2 linked regions of the Tamandua tetradactyla genome follow. The protein of the gene in region 1 interacts with the protein of each later gene in a biochemical or structural test. Links are inferred from orthologs where the notes say so. Each region holds a gene or a part of one and is shown on either strand. Other genes may lie near its edges.

What was found. The genes of interacting proteins can lie anywhere in the genome.
Region 2: of the proteins of HDAC4 (region 1) and CAMK2D, one has a biochemical effect on the other in vitro, tested with the Homo sapiens proteins (2 studies listed by BioGRID, with this or other methods). The link is inferred for Tamandua tetradactyla from reciprocal best matches to the Homo sapiens genes HDAC4 and CAMK2D.

The regions. Positions count from the first base shown.
Region 1 is NC_135329.1:216,321,055-216,328,765, reverse strand, and holds the start of HDAC4 (histone deacetylase 4), read left to right. Parts: upstream 1-4,700; 5' UTR 4,701-5,428; coding exon 5,429-5,615; intron 5,616-7,711. UniProt on the Homo sapiens protein: Responsible for the deacetylation of lysine residues on the N-terminal part of the core histones (H2A, H2B, H3 and H4).
Region 2 is NC_135350.1:8,363,018-8,370,631, forward strand, and holds the start of CAMK2D (calcium/calmodulin-dependent protein kinase type II subunit delta), read left to right. Parts: upstream 1-4,609; 5' UTR 4,610-5,102; coding exon 5,103-5,167; intron 5,168-6,696; coding exon 6,697-6,791; intron 6,792-7,614. UniProt on the Homo sapiens protein: Calcium/calmodulin-dependent protein kinase involved in the regulation of Ca(2+) homeostatis and excitation-contraction coupling (ECC) in heart by targeting ion channels, transporters and accessory proteins involved in Ca(2+) influx into the myocyte, Ca(2+) release from the sarcoplasmic reticulum (SR), SR Ca(2+) uptake and Na(+) and K(+) channel transport.

The DNA of each region.
Region 1 (7,711 bases):
ATTTTTCTTTGCAGTGTGAAGTTCTTTTATTGTCCTTTGGCGTTTTGTGCTGTTATTGCTGATGAGAAGTTAGATCTTGGTGTAGGTTTTGTTTCTTAGGGTCTTTTTTGTCTAGGAGGTTTTCAGATTTTTTCCCCATGTTTGGTGTCTGACGTTTTATTGGGATGTGTCTACTTGTGGATTTGTACTGGTTTATCCTTCTTTTTTCATTTTTATTACCATACCGATTTAATTATATGGGTTATAGACCTAACTGTAAAACTTTAAAGTATGAATCTTCTAGAATGAAATAGGGTCACAAATATTTATTCCTATGTTAGGCAAAGATTTTTTTAGATACATTAACAAATGCCTGGTGTATAAAACGACAAAGTGAAAAGTTGAGCTTAAAGTTAAAGCCTCTGCTTTTGGATCAATACTTTTAGGAGAATATAAACCCTAGGCTTGAGGAAATGGCTAAAATGGAAAAAAAATTGTACCAATTGTTGGCAAAGATGTGAAAGAACTGGAGCTTTCATGTACAGTGGGCGAGACTGTAAAATGATACAGTTGCGTTGGAAAACCATTCATCAGTTTCTTAAAAAGTTAGACGCACACCTCCCATGTGATCTAAATGTTCTACTTCTAGGTAACGAAGAGATAAGAAAGCAAGTGCCCATACAGTAGCATGCTTTTTAAACCTAACTCTTATCTTTCTGGAATTATGGAATATTCTTGATTCATTATCTCTTTGAATAGTACTTCTTTTCCATGATTTCCATTCTTTACTCCTTGAGTTCATGCTCGGTATTTGTTGGGCCATCACACTGTTTTACTCAAGCTGCTTTTCTCCTTACCCTTTTTTTTTTTTTTTTTTTTTACATGGGCAGGCCCTGGGAATCGAACTCAGGTCTCTGGCACTCTGGCATGCAAGTGAAATCTTGCCACTGAGCCACCATGGCCCGCCCTCCTTACCTTTTTATAATGTATTCTGGTGATTCAGATCTATCTACCAATTCAGTGTTCTGTCTCTAGCTATGCCCAATCAGCTATTTTCAGTGGCTCTATGTTTTTTTATTTTTGCATGGGTAGGCACTGGGAATCGAACCCAGGTCTCTGCCATGGCCTGCTGAGCTTGTGTGGGCCGCCCAGTGGCTCTACTTTTCAATTTTAGAAAATTCGTTATTAAAAAAAAAAAGTCCATTTCTTTTTCCATGGTTTCTTTCTTACATTATAGGCTTTTCCTTCATATAACTTCTTGCTTTTTAAAAACATGCATGTATTAGTTTTTTCCATATTGTTTTGTTCTCTGTGGATATTGTGGAGTCCTTTCTCTGTTTTGTTGTGCTTGCTGATTCTCTCCTCGTTACTGTGTGTCATTTGTAATTTTAGATTTTTATTGTAAATTTGTCTTCAAGAGGAAGTTTTCTCTTTTCCCCTTTTTTCCCTCCTTCTTTGGGTGTCTCATGTGCCCTGGAATTATTGATGCCCTGGATTGTAGAACCTTTTTGTTTTGTTTTCCTGTGGACCCCAGGTTTCCCAAGTTCTGGCCTAGTCTTATTTCTTAATTTCTAGACCTGAGATTGCATGAATAGGACATGAATTTGGAGGCTCCTTCCATAAAGGCATGGTCGTAGGGGAGTCTGCTTCTCACAGCAGGTTCTTCACAGCTCCTTCTTGGCCTAACAGGTGGGTTTCCAGTCCCCCTTTCCTAGATTGGATGGCCCTTGGAGAGCTCTGTCCTGATGCATCGTCCTCAGTTTCAGCTCTCTGCCCATGGCGTGCCCAAGGCAACATCTGCTACCCAGTAAGGTCCTTTCAGCCCTCTGTTCTGAAGCCTCTATCCCAGATAGGCAGCTGGACTTCAGCAAACTTGCTTAGAGCACCCATTGGTAACCAGAATCTTCTCTTTCTTTTGAGCTGAACTCTGTGTGGAAAGTGAGGTGTGGGGATTATATTCTGTATTCTAATCATAATTTCTGTATTCTTGGAGTGGGAGGTGTGGGGCATTGAGCAGATTTCAGGAACCTGAGGTTCTAATTAGCTCTGTCTACTGCTTAACTTGGTGTTTGGCCATCAGTAGGATGTGTGTCTTCTAATGTATGAAACTGGATCTTGGGCTGCAGGTGCCTCTTAGTTCAGACTGTCCGTATGAGGAGCACGCATCTGACACCGATGTGCTCCCTCTCCTCTTTCCTTGTAGTTGCAGTTGAGCTCAAAGCTTGCCCTTTGAACTGCCTGAAAATGTAGAGCAGCCATGTTTCTTGAAGGTGATTGTATAATGATACAGCTTTCGCAATGTGTGATTGTGAAAACCTTATGTCTGATGCTTCTTTTATTTACCTTATGAGTAAAACATATGGATTAAAAATAAATAAATAATGGGGGAACAGATGTTAAAATAAATTTAGTAAATTGAAATGCTAATGATCAGTGAAAGGGAGGGGCAAGGGGTATGGTATGTATAAATTTTTTTTCTGTTTTCTTTTTATATTTATTTCTGAATTGATGCAAATGTTCTAAGAGATGATCATGATGATGAATGTGCAACTATGTGATAAAAAAAGAATGTTCATATTGTGTGTTGATTGGTTTTATTAATAAAAATTTTTTAAAAAGTGAAAGTCTATTCAGCAGTCGACCTATACGATGATACTGTGAGCCACTGATTGTACAGTGTGGGTGATTATATGGCATCTGAATATATGATGTATCTCAATAAAACTGCATTATAAAAAAGTGAAAGCAAAACTAAAGATAACACACTTGCCAAATAATTTGAGTAGTGAATCTTTCTAGATGTTTTTTCAAGCAGTAAAAAAAAAAAAAAGCTTGCTCTCCTTTCTGTTGTGGACACTTAAGTGTGAGCCGCCACAGCACAGCGCCCGCCTTGGCCACAGAGGGCCTGTGGGTCCCACGTCGCAGGTGCCATCCGTCCAGAGGTGGACAGCCCTGTGGATTGGTTTCAGGTGAAGAAAGCTGCGTCTCTGTTCTGTTTTGGTGTGATTTCTACAGTTTCCCCTTGCCCGTTGATTTTGCGTGTTATTGGCAATCCTTTGTAGTGGTACATGTTTTAGCGTCTTGGTTGTGGATGGAATTATAGGAAACGAATCTGTTCCGAGCTGCTGAAGGATTGCAGTAGCTTATGAGAGGAGGAAGCCATGCCGCGAGATCAGTGCTGTCCAGGAAGTGGGTGACCTGTGCGTTGGAAGCCCCTTTTGTGGCGCTGCAGCTCCTCTCTGCGGGGCCTGTGTGCAGGAGGCGACCTGGGGAAGTGGGGTGCAGGAGCACAGCCGGCTGGGTGCCCAGGGCCCAGGGCGCTGTGTCGCGGGTCCTGGGGGAGGGAGCATTGCCTGGTGGTGTGCCCCTTGAGGTCGAGCTGGATCGTGAGGGCGCGTGCGAGCCGGTCGGGGGAGAGGTGGCTCTGTTACTTCTACACTGAGAATCAAAAATTAACTCCATTACAAAAAGTAGAGCATGGTTTAGATGAGCTAGGGATTTCAGTCTACAATTTTTGATATTTCTGTTCTCATAGTGAGGAGACTTGCAAAAATTAGAGAAAGCTGTTTCAGAAAACCATATTTTTAATGTATGGGTCTTTGGGTATAGTCTGCTGCTTTCTAGATTGGCATTAAGACAAGACCCAGTCCTCTGGAGAAGGATGGACGCAGCCCCATCTGTCTTTGGCAAGGAGATTCAGCAGGATACGCCGTCATCCGCACTCTGGGGTGGAAGCTTCTTCGCTGCTCTGCTCTTTCCTCCGTGCTGCTGCTCTCCCGCTTTCATGTCCCTCTCAGATCTGGGAGATGCTTCTCTGGCAGCCAAGCTGGCCGTGCTGCACACTCAGACACTGCGTGGCAGAGCTTTGCCTCCCGTGGCGCCCGGCGATGCAGCTTGTCAGCCCCTGCTGCGTGCCCAGCGTCAGCCAGGGGCCTCCATGGGGGCCCGTTGGAACTCTGCCCCGAGAGGGGGGCAGTAGGAGCCCCCCTGTCCTAGAGATGTGGGAAATGAGGCCCCTGCTGCATTAGGTCATTTGGGGACGTAGAGGGGCCTCTAGAGGGCACCTGGCTCCCAGGCCCCCTGGCCCCCGGCAGAGCCTCGGTGCTGCCTCTCCAGGTGCCTCGGGCTCCATCGTGGCGAGACCACAGCTGAACAGTCTAGAAGGGCAGACATGCACATCCTGCCAATGGCGTGAAGCGTGGTTGACATCTAACAGCAGATTGCTTCTGCTGTCGGTAGCTCCATTTTTAGAAGATGAAAATAGAACACTCCACAGGGTAATCGCTGTATTTTTAGACATTCAGGTTTGTGGTGTATAACAGCGATCATAAAAGAAACAGTGGTAAGGTTTAGTTCATCTTGATTTGGGGGAGTTGTGATTTGTACAGTATATCCATATTGTATAAAACAAATACACAAGAGTGATTTCTACAGATTGTGCACCAGCTATTCAGAGGACCCAGGGGAGTTGGTTCTGTTGGCGGGAGGAGGGTGTGCTGTGGCATTCTTGCGATACATGGTAATGATGCAGATACCTCGCATGCACATTTCTACCTTGCAGGAGCCTGCACTAGGGTGTCTGTAGGTGAGAGCAGGGCCATGAAGTGGGGGTAGGGTGCAGGAGAGTGTCGCCCTGGCCGTGGGCAGCGGGCTGGGTGAGGAGGAGCCGCTAGGAGTTAGCTGGTGTCTCCCAGCTGTGGTCTTGGGACGGTGAGTCTGGTGTCTCTCCCTAGCGGGATGGGAAAGGCAAGGGACCCTGCAGCCTACTGAGGGTGATGGGGGGACCTCTGGACCACCTCATGACACTAGTTTCTGGAGACGTTTGTGCAGGAGATTGGCCCGGACTGGTTCCGGTGGGGATGCCGAGTCTGGGTGGTCATCTCTGGAGTTTGAATGCAGGTGCGAGGCCGCCGTGCCCCTGTGTGTGCCCTCCGCGGGCCTGGCCTCTGTCCTCCTGGGTTCTCAACCCTAAGGGGATCCTACTCGGGTCCTGATAATGCGTATTGAGTAAATGAGTTTAAACGAAATAAAATGGCATTTTATTTACCTGGAAGACATCTGTGCGTGATAAGAAGGAAACCTGTGGGAAGGAACTGTGTCTCTCCCCAGCTCCGCCGTGCGACAGTGCTGGGGGTGGCGTCCTGACGCCCAGTGAACAAGGACAGTGGCAGCCGCCGCCCTGCCCTCCAGACGTGCGGCCCGTCCCCCGGCCGTGCGCCTGGGGAGGGTATTCAGCTGATGGTGTGGGCGAGCTGCAGCCAGTGGGAAGTAGCAGGGAGTTGAATTAAATATACGTTCATTGCTTGTATATACTTTATGTCAGTTTTTTCCACAAGATTTCTGAATGGCGTGTGTGCCATATAATATTTAATGTGCTTTTGTGTTTTTAATTTACCAGCTCAGCTAGAGAGATTGATAAATCCTTTGAAGGACTGCGGCCCTGCCCAGGATGGGTGTGTGTCTGGCCCTGAGGACCTGCTGGTCTGACCTTCATGGAGTCGCTCCTTGTCCTTGTTCATTTCTGCGGTGTCGACGTGGGGACGGTCATTTTCCTGTACCGTGCCGATGCGAGGACAAGGGACTGCTGACTGTGCCTCGCCCAGAGGAGGTCTCTGGGCAGTTAGGGTTATTAGAATGTAAGCATTTTTCTTTAGTTTACCGATTTCCAGGAAGAACAATCACTTGGAAAGATACAGTGAATTCAAGCAAATATCATCCTAAGGAAAGAACCTCTCTTTCCCTGTGGGGGCTGCTGGTGGCCATTAGTGTCTGCTCTGAGCAGACCTTGCTGGGTAGGGCCCCGAGACCACAGAGTACTTTGTGGACTGCTCCTGCGTGGGGTGGGGGGTGTGGAGCCCAGCATGGGGAGCACGTTGCTGGGGGTTGCTGGGGGCTGGACTGCTACCGCCTCGCACTCTCTCCCCTTTGCTTGGCAGTCGGCCAGATCGGTCACTTCTGAAGCGTTGTGTTGTGGCTGGGAGGGCAACAAGTCCTTTTCCTGTGCCAAGGGTACGGGCACCTTAAAGTGGGTGTGGGTGGAGGACTCGGAAGGAAGGGGTCTGTGGCTCAGTTTCTTTCCATCTCGCTGTTGGCCTGAAAGCCCTACAGCCACATGCAAGCTCTTTCCAAATGTCCATTCTTGTTTTTTTGTTAAGATTTTGCGACTCATTTCTCATGAGCTGCTTAATATGCACTATTTTCCAGCTTCCTGTTGCTTCACCACAAACACCTTCGAGCTAATTTTTATACTCAGCAGTGTGGAAGGTGAATTGGGGGTGGCTTGTCTCTAGGTGGCTTTAGATGCTGACTCACTTTTCTGGCAGGAGCGTTTGCCCTGCTCAGGCGCCCTGGCACAGCATATGTGCATACGTGCTCCTGGAGGGCAGGTGCAGTGGAGGCACAGACAGCCTCCTGGGCTTCGTGCCCCATCCCTTAGCTACATTTTTAGTTTATTTCTCGTTTCTGCCTCCAGTGTCACTTAACAGGTGGGAACATTGAGGCTGAGAGTGTAATTCCTGAGGTAGCTGGAAGTGGGTAGAAACCAGCCCGAGGGCTCCAGGACACAGTCCCCTCCTGCTGTCGTCTGCACCTGGCCAGGTCAAGGCTTGAACCCAGCCGGGCATTTTGTTGCTGGAGGGCTTGGCAAATCAGATGTTTTAGTTCAGGAATTAGGATGCCTGCAGGAAAATAAAAGTGGTAGGTACAATTTAAAGTTTTCACAAACTTGCAGGTTGGGTCCTAGCAGTAAGGAAAATGCGTGATTATTTACAGATATCTTTATTTCTTGGCTGATAATGACTTTTGCTTTCCATGGCTGTTGATTTAAATCTAAGGGACTGTGCCATTTGAATCTGTTGTGTACTGCAGAAAAGCCTTGTCCTTCAATCTTCATTCAGTAATGCTGGGTGGGGTCTTTTTTGACTGTTTCCATGGAGATGTGACCCACCCAATTGTGGGTGGTAACTTTTGATTAGATGGTTTCCATGGAGATGTGTCTCCACCTATTCAAGGTGGGGTTGCTTACTGGAGCCCTTTAAGAGGGAACCATTTTGGAAGAAAGCTTTAGAGCCGCCAGAACCAACAGAGCCCACACAGCCAGAGACTGTTGGATATGAGGAAAGAAAATGCTCCCGGGAAGCTGTTGGAGAAGCCAGGAGAGAAAGCTAGCAGGCATCACCATGTGCCTTTCCAGTTGAAAGAGAAACTTGAAATATCATCAGCCTTCTTAAACCAGGGTATCTTTCCCTGGATGCCTTAATTTGGATACTCTCCCTTGACTTAATTTGGATTATTTCATGGCCTTAGAACTATAAACTTGTAACTTATTAAATTCCCCATTTACAAAACTGTTCCATTTCTGGTATATTGCGTTCTGGCAGCTTGCAGACTAAAGCAGGGTCCTATACGGAAAACCGTTTATTCATCGTGATGATTAGGTTCATGTGCCGTCTCGGTCAGGTGATGGTACCCTGTTGTTCGGTCAAGCAAGCATTGGCCTGTCTGTGGTTGGGAGGACGTTCATGGACTTGAACCACGAGCAAGTTGGTTGCATCCATGGCTGGTACATCTGTAGTTGGCTAAGGGGAGTGTCTTCTGCAACGAGTGACAATTAATCTAATCACCTGAAGTCTTTAGAAGAGAATTCAGAGAGAGAATCTCTTTCCGCTTGAGCCAGCCAGACTCTCCTAAGGAGCTTGTTGAAGACCTTCACTGGAGCTGCCCGCTCGTGGCC
Region 2 (7,614 bases), on another chromosome or scaffold:
AAGGAGAAAACAAAGCAGAGGATGGGAATAGAAACTGTGAGAGGTGCAATAACTGAAGGGAAGGCCTCACTGATAAGGTGACAGTTGAGAAAAGATGGGAAGGAGGTCAGGGAAAGAGAAAGGAGGATAACTAAGAAAAGAACATTCCAGGCAGAATGAAACAGCAAGTACAAATTCCCTAATCAGAAGCATACTGCGTGTGTTTCAGGGTCACCAAGTTGGTGAGTGTGACTGCAGCAGAGTGAGCTACAGCAGGAGATGAATTTAGGAGGGTAATGGGGTGATAGCGATGGACAGAACCCTTAGGGTCTTGTAGGCATTTTTAAAACTTTGGTTTTTAGTCCAATTGAGATGGAAACCCCTCAGAAGGTTTGGATCAGAGGCATTTGATCTGACTGAAGTTTTAAGAAAATCATTCTGGCTGTTGTGCTGAGACTGGAATGAAGGGGGACAAAACCAGAAATGAGAGTGATAAGGGGCTACTGAATGAAACAACAGAAGATCATAATCCAAATTCATTTCTGCATAATTCTAGAAGGAATAGTAATTTGTGAAGCAGATTTAACTTTCTAATTGCTAATACTGAAATAATTTTTTATACTGTATGTAAGGTATAAGGAGAAGCTTGAAAATAATAATAGAGTGCGAATGATCACTATTATGAGTTTATGGTCTTAAATGATGGTATAACAGTATCCGTGTTAAAGATCATTTCAGGCACTATAATTAAAATATTGTACCTTCTATAAATTAGGTCTGTCTATTTTAGTTTATAAAATTATCATATGTTCATTGTAGAATATTTCAACAAAGCACATAGCAATCATTGAATGTCTCTGATTCTATATTTTTTTTATTGTGAAACATAACATAATATACAAAAAAACCCCAATAAATTTCAAAGTATTTTAACAAGTAGTTATAGAAGAGACTTCAATGTTTGATATGGTCATGGTTCCACAATTTCAGATTTTTCCTTCAACTCTTCTAAGACACTGGAGTCTAGAAAGAAATACCTGATTCTATACTAATAAAATTGGATCTTATGAATGAAAATACTAATCTGGTTCCATATTAATGATAGTCAAATTAAACAAACAATGAAATAATCATATGGGTTTTGGCCCCTTGTATTCCTTTCCTAAAGTTCCTCCTCATTTTATTCATGGGAGCTGTTTAAGTGGATGATAAAATGTATATACATTGTGGCACTCACTAAACTGAATTAAATATAACATCTACTGTTATTTTACTTTATGGGTCTACATTTTTTTTTAATTTAACTTTATCTTTTAGCCATTATTCCTGAAATTATATTGAAATAGAGCTCAAAAACCTTTGACTTGATTACTGTCTTTTAGAGGTCCAGACTCAAGAAATAGCTGATATATTTGTTTAAATTAGAGAAATGTTTTCATCTAAGATAAAGGTTCAGTACAAATATAGATAAAGCAAACAGTGCTTGCTTAAAAATGTACGTGCTTACTGTCTAATACTATATTCGTATTAAAACTCAGTTAATATTCTTTATACTGCACAATTATCATAACCATTTGCAATTATCTGTAGTTTAAATAACTGAGATAAATACTGTAATTATGTAGACTTCATTACTTGAATATTTAAAAAACAATTTTCCTCACAGAGTTAAAATTTTATATTACTTATATTTATTGTTTTAATTTCACTTTTCTTGTTTTAGTTTTAGATTCAGATGATATATTAAATGATCACATTATAACTTGGAGTCATATTGCTAAATTTTTACAATAAAATCTAAAACTCTTTTGCCTAGATCAAATTGCTTTTTTTCCTTACAATTTTATAGAACAAATATTAATATTTAGATAACATATTTCTTTGCTCTATATAGCTTTGGATATCATCTTTTATAGGATCATCTTATACAATGCTACGCTTGCTTAAAATAAATGATGATAACATATTTACAACATACCATTTTCAATTTTAACCACTTTCAAACATGCAGATCAGTGGTGTTAATTATATTCTCTGTTGTGCTACCATCACCATCCATTACCAAAACTTTTCCATTACCCCAAACAGCAACTCAGTACCCATTAATCACTAATTCCGTGTTCCAAAACCCACTTCTGCCCTTGGTAGTCTGTAATCTTTTTTGTCTTTATAAATTTGTATATTCTACTTTTATCCAAATAACTGTGTTCATACAATATTTGCTCTTCTGTGCCTGGTTTATTTCATTCCACATAATGTCGTCAAGGTTCATCCATATTGTTACATGTTTCAGAATTTTATTGTTTTATAGCTACATATTAGTCCATCAATGTACATACCACGTTTATCCATTCATGTATCAATAGACACTTGGGTTACTTTTACTTTTGTGAATAATGCTACTCTTTTCAAGTCCCTGCTTTCAATTTCTTTGAGTATATACCTAGAAGTGGGATTACTGGGTCATATGGTAATTCTATACTTAAGTTTTTGAGGCACTGCCAAACTGTTTTCCACAGCTGCTATATCATTATACATTCCACAGTGGCTATACCATTATACAATGTCTGGGTGGGGGAGCGGGGTTTCCATTTCTCTGCATCCCTGCCAATATTTACTCTCCTTTTTTAAAATAACAGACATTCTACTGGGTGAGAGGCAGTATTTCATCATTTTGATTTGCATTTCCCTAATGGCTAATGATGTTGAGCATCTTTTCATGTACTTATTGGCCACTTGTATATCTTCTTCGGAGTATACTTGCTTTTTACACCTGGGTAACAGAATATTTACATACAAACCAGTTTTGTTAAAGTATTAAACATTATGAGCATTTTGAGTACTTCCATAAAACTGCAATTATTGGCAGAATAGCATTGCCCAAATCAGAAAATTAGGGAACTTTAGGATTATATGTGACAGTAGACAAGATAATCAATTAATCCTAGTTCATGAGCACAAGCCACAACCCCTTTAAGCCTTAAGAATCTCAATATCTGCAAATGATATTTTTCTGTCCATCTCCGCTGTGAAATTTCGACTCTATGGATGAACAAATCTGGATTAAAACTGCAAGGTTTTCAGGGCTCATGCTGAAGAACAAAAGGCAATAATTTGAAAAGGCTCCTCTGATGAACAAAAGGCAGTAATTCGAAAAAGACAATTCATAATTTCTTTGTTTCTGTTCTGCCTCTAAATTCGAAATGCTCTAATTTATTTAAGATATAGGGATGACCAAGGGTAGTTCTAGCAATTAACTTACATATTTTAAATATAATGCATACTTATTTTCCCTCTTACTGTATACAATGACGGCTATGTTAATAGAGTAAGGAACATACTTGAATAGTTGAGTGTTTTTTCAGTTACACCGTTAGGAATTACACTCATGTGCAACTATTTGGCCAAATCTTTGCTCCTGCAAGCAAAGCACCCACGACCTCTTTTCCTCTTTCCTTTCGCAAAGCGAAACAGGCTAGCGGCGGTTCCTGTGATAAGAGTGACGTCAGCCCCCATGGGTCGCGTGACCGACACCCAGCCTTCCCATTTCCCCGCCCCCGCGGCGGAGCGGGAGATCGCGCGAGAACTCGTCTTACTATCAGCATTAGTGAGGTTCACAGTGGAGTTTACTCCGAAGAGAAGGGAAGGGAAGGTGTGGCCCGGTGGAAGGGTTTTTGCTTTCATTCTGTTAACGTTCATGGCCGAAGCAAAGGCCTTTGGGGACTGCCAGATTCTGAGCAACCCAATCTGGAAAACGGCGGGGGAGGCGGAGGATGAGGTTGCAGTCAAATCAGGAGTGAAACGTGGCGCACCCGCCGGCGTCGCCGTCGCTAATGGGGTTGTGGGGGAGGGAGCAGCCCGGCGCCCGGCGCCTGGGAGCTGGCGTTGCGGCGAGCGCGGCTTCCGCTGGCGTGGGACCCGACCCTGACTTGGGAGACGGGTGAACCTTCTCTAGAAGCAGCCAGCTGCGCACACCCGGGCCCCGTGTCAACACGGAGCGGCGCCAAGTGGTAGCGCCGCTCGCTCTCCCGCCCGGGGCGCATTGTCCCTCGTGCCTGGCGCCCACATCGGGGCTGGGGGGCTTCCACGACCCCCCCAGACGGTTCACGAGTCGTCCGCCTCCTGCTGCTAAATTTAGTCCCAGATTTGGGCAGGAGCCTTTCTGCGGGTTTAAGTGGGTACCTTTGATGTCTGGCCTCGTTCACCTAAGCTCCCTCCGGGATTCTTCCCCCGCGCATCCTCCTCCTGCCCCTTGGACTCTCCCCTAGACGGGCGTGTGCGTGCGGGAGGCCAAGGGAGGGAGGGAGAAAGCCACGAAGGGAGAGGATTGGAGTCGCTAGAGGGAGGTGTGGGACCAGCGAGGGAGGGTGCTGGCAGGCGGAGGGCGCGGCGGGAGGAGGGGCCGGAGGAGGAGGCGGAGGCCTGGGGACGGCAGAAGAGGCTTAGCCTGAGCCGAGCACTCTTTCTCTCCCCGCGCAGTCGCCAAGCCGCGCGGGCTCCTTGGGGAGCGCGAGGACGCGGAGGTGCCGGGCCCAGTCCTTGCGGCCGCTGCCCGCGGGAGGGAGGTCGGTGCCAGGAGCGCGCGCTCAGCTGAGTCCCCGCGCGCCCCGCGCCCGCTGACAGCTGCAGCTGGGCTCGAAGCTGTCCGCTACACGCTCGGCGGCCTCGGCCCCTCGCACCTCCCCCGCCCCCTTCGGGTTCCTTCCCCGCCGCCTCTGTCCCTCCCGTCGCTGGTGCGGCTCCTTTCGCAAGTATTCGCCTCCCGCCCGATGCCCGGCTGCTTTTTTTCATATCTCGGCCCCGTCTTCTTGAATACTTTGCCCCCTGCACTTGGGGAGAGGGGCTGGTAAGGGCGGGTGGAGCATCTAGAGAAGAAGGAAGCAAGGCTTGGAGGAGGAGGCGGATCGGCGGACAGTAAGGAGGAGACCCCACGCCGCCCTTTCTGGTCATCTCCCCTCCCACCCCGCCCCTGCGCACACTCCCTCCCGGGCGAGCTACTTTCGGACGAGAAAAGTGAGGGCGGCCCTGGGTGACAGCGTTGCAGGGCCAGTCCCAGCGAAGCCGCGCGACTGCTCGCGTCTCGTCCGCCGCCCTTCGAGCCAGGGGCACAGTCCGGACCGAGGATGGCTTCGACGACAACCTGCACCAGGTTCACGGACGAGTATCAGCTTTTCGAGGAGCTCGGAAAGTAAGCGCCTTTGCCCGGCATACTCACATCCCCTTTCCAGCAGAGGGCGGGTGGCGTTGCCCCTGACCTGTCGGCCTCCGGAGTGGGGCGAGGGAGTTTGGGAAACCAGGGAAAGAGGGGGGTTCCTGCTTTATCAGCTGCCTTAGAAGAGGACTGGGGCAAGGGAGGGGAAAGACCCCCACCCCTGCTGTGGCCCCTTCTGATAATCCCTCCCTCCCTCCTACTCTTTAACCCAGAGACTTAGTGAATTTACGACCTCTGCAGTTGTAGCTGTCATCCTGAAAAGTGCGTGTGTGTGTAGGAAACAAGAATCTATGTAAATGCGATGTAGATCACGTTTTGTGTAAATAGAGATGCCTCCCTCCGGGTTAGCCGGCGTGTCGGCGGTATAACCCACATACGAATGAGAACTCACTGCCCCAGACGGTGCCATATTTATTGATGCCGAAAGTTCAACTTGTCGTAGAGTCTATTTTGCATCCAGTAGTTCTGTCCAGGAAAAGGGCCACCCAACGGAGTCGACCACCCTACCCGATATCATCAATTATTCTTTGCACTAGATTACTTGCATATCATCATCCTTTCTAGTATATACTTGTGCATCTCCGCGTTTTCTGTGCGGATTTATTTGTACAGGTAGCGGAAAAGCCCTCTGTAGATTGGAGGAGCGCTTCCCAAGGGTAGCCTAGCATAGTATAAAACGACCCCCTGCACCCGCTGGCAGAACTGCTTGTAGATGTTAAGGAAGGGTACTGGAGACCTAGCCAAGACCTGTGCGAAGGGACCTAGGGGCCGAGCCCTGATTGTTGATTTATGTAGCAGCAAACCCAAACCCAATTCCTCTTTTCCTAGTTTCGATTATTACTTATGAAAGGGGTGTGTTTGTGTCCAAGCTGCTGGTTTATACTGTTGAATTACAGGACCTGTAACTATCTTTTAAATGTAATGAGAATCATGTCTATATATTGTCTGCTGTCGAAACATGGAGAATATGTCGGAAGAGCAGCTTAATTCAAATATCTCCCCTCCCCCAATCCCAAACAGCGCATAGTGAAATAACCATACCAGGTTTTGTTAAACCACACAAATGTGCTCACGATTTTTATTTTAATGAAAGTAATGGCCATATATGCTTGGAGCCACATTAATTTTTCCCCTACCAAATAAAAAGACAGCAGATTTTTGCTGCTCCTTCTCAGCTCTGCTCTTTGCAGGATTTTCTCAGAGCATTTGGTGCTGAGTGTGAATTGTAAAATGTTTTCAAATTTCATGTGCAAACAAGAGCCGTCATTGTTGGCAGTTCTTTTCATTTTGTTGATTAATAATTTGTTAAATAAAATTCACTTTTATTCTCAAACATTGAAGAAGATCTGGGTTTCCAGACAGAATTGTTCTTTTTCTGGACCTTACTCTAGTGCACTGATGTTTGATAATTCACTGAAATCAATAAAAATGATTAGGTTGTCATAGTATTTTAATAGCGTATCAGAGCTGATTATATTGATGACCTGCTAATTATTGGTTTTCAGGGGGGCATTCTCAGTGGTGAGAAGATGTATGAAAATTCCTACTGGCCAAGAATATGCTGCCAAAATTATCAACACCAAAAAGCTTTCTGCTAGGGGTGGGTATTTTCAACCACATATTTATATATGTGAATTTTCTGTTTGTCCTGTTGATTGTTGGTTCTCTTGTATGTAAATGTGTCATGTAGTTATAATTGAATTGTAGATTTAGATATCATTTTATGTATTGAGATTATTTCCTTCTTGTATGACTCTTGGTTTGTACTGGTTTAAAAGTAAATGAAAGAATATGATTGTTATTATTTAATACATTGTTATTAAAATTCTATCTTTCCTATGAGCAGTAGCATAAATAACTAATTTTAAAACAAATAAATGTCACTAAGTACATTTTGCCTTCAGCTCCAGTGTGAAATAACTTTCAGAAGGATTTGGAATGGAAAAATATAAGTCTCACAACTGCCATAATTTCCTTTTACTTTTCAGAGGTAAAATAGGTCACAGCTCAGTTGAATCATATATTTCAATTGCAGTTACACTTGAACTTAATTCATCAAAGCATATTTAACAGTACCAGCTTTGGGAGGAAGCATGTTTGCTGTATTTTAGGGAGTTTGGGTTGATTTTGACGTGTTTGTGTGCAGTTAAGACCTTTATTTGGTCTCCTGCATTAAGGTTTCTCTCACACACATGTAATGTATTTTACACGTGCAGTTTATAGCCACAGAGGTAATTCATACTTCCAACATAGCTGTTGACATCATTAAAAATCTTGGCGGGCCCTCGCTGTGATTTAGTTTGTCGAACTCCAGCAAAAGCACTTATAAACTCATGTTAGGTATTCCAGTTATTGTGAGCACATGCCTAAGGTATTTCCATGGGAATATATGGTTTTATGAAATGAAAATGTACAAAATGCTG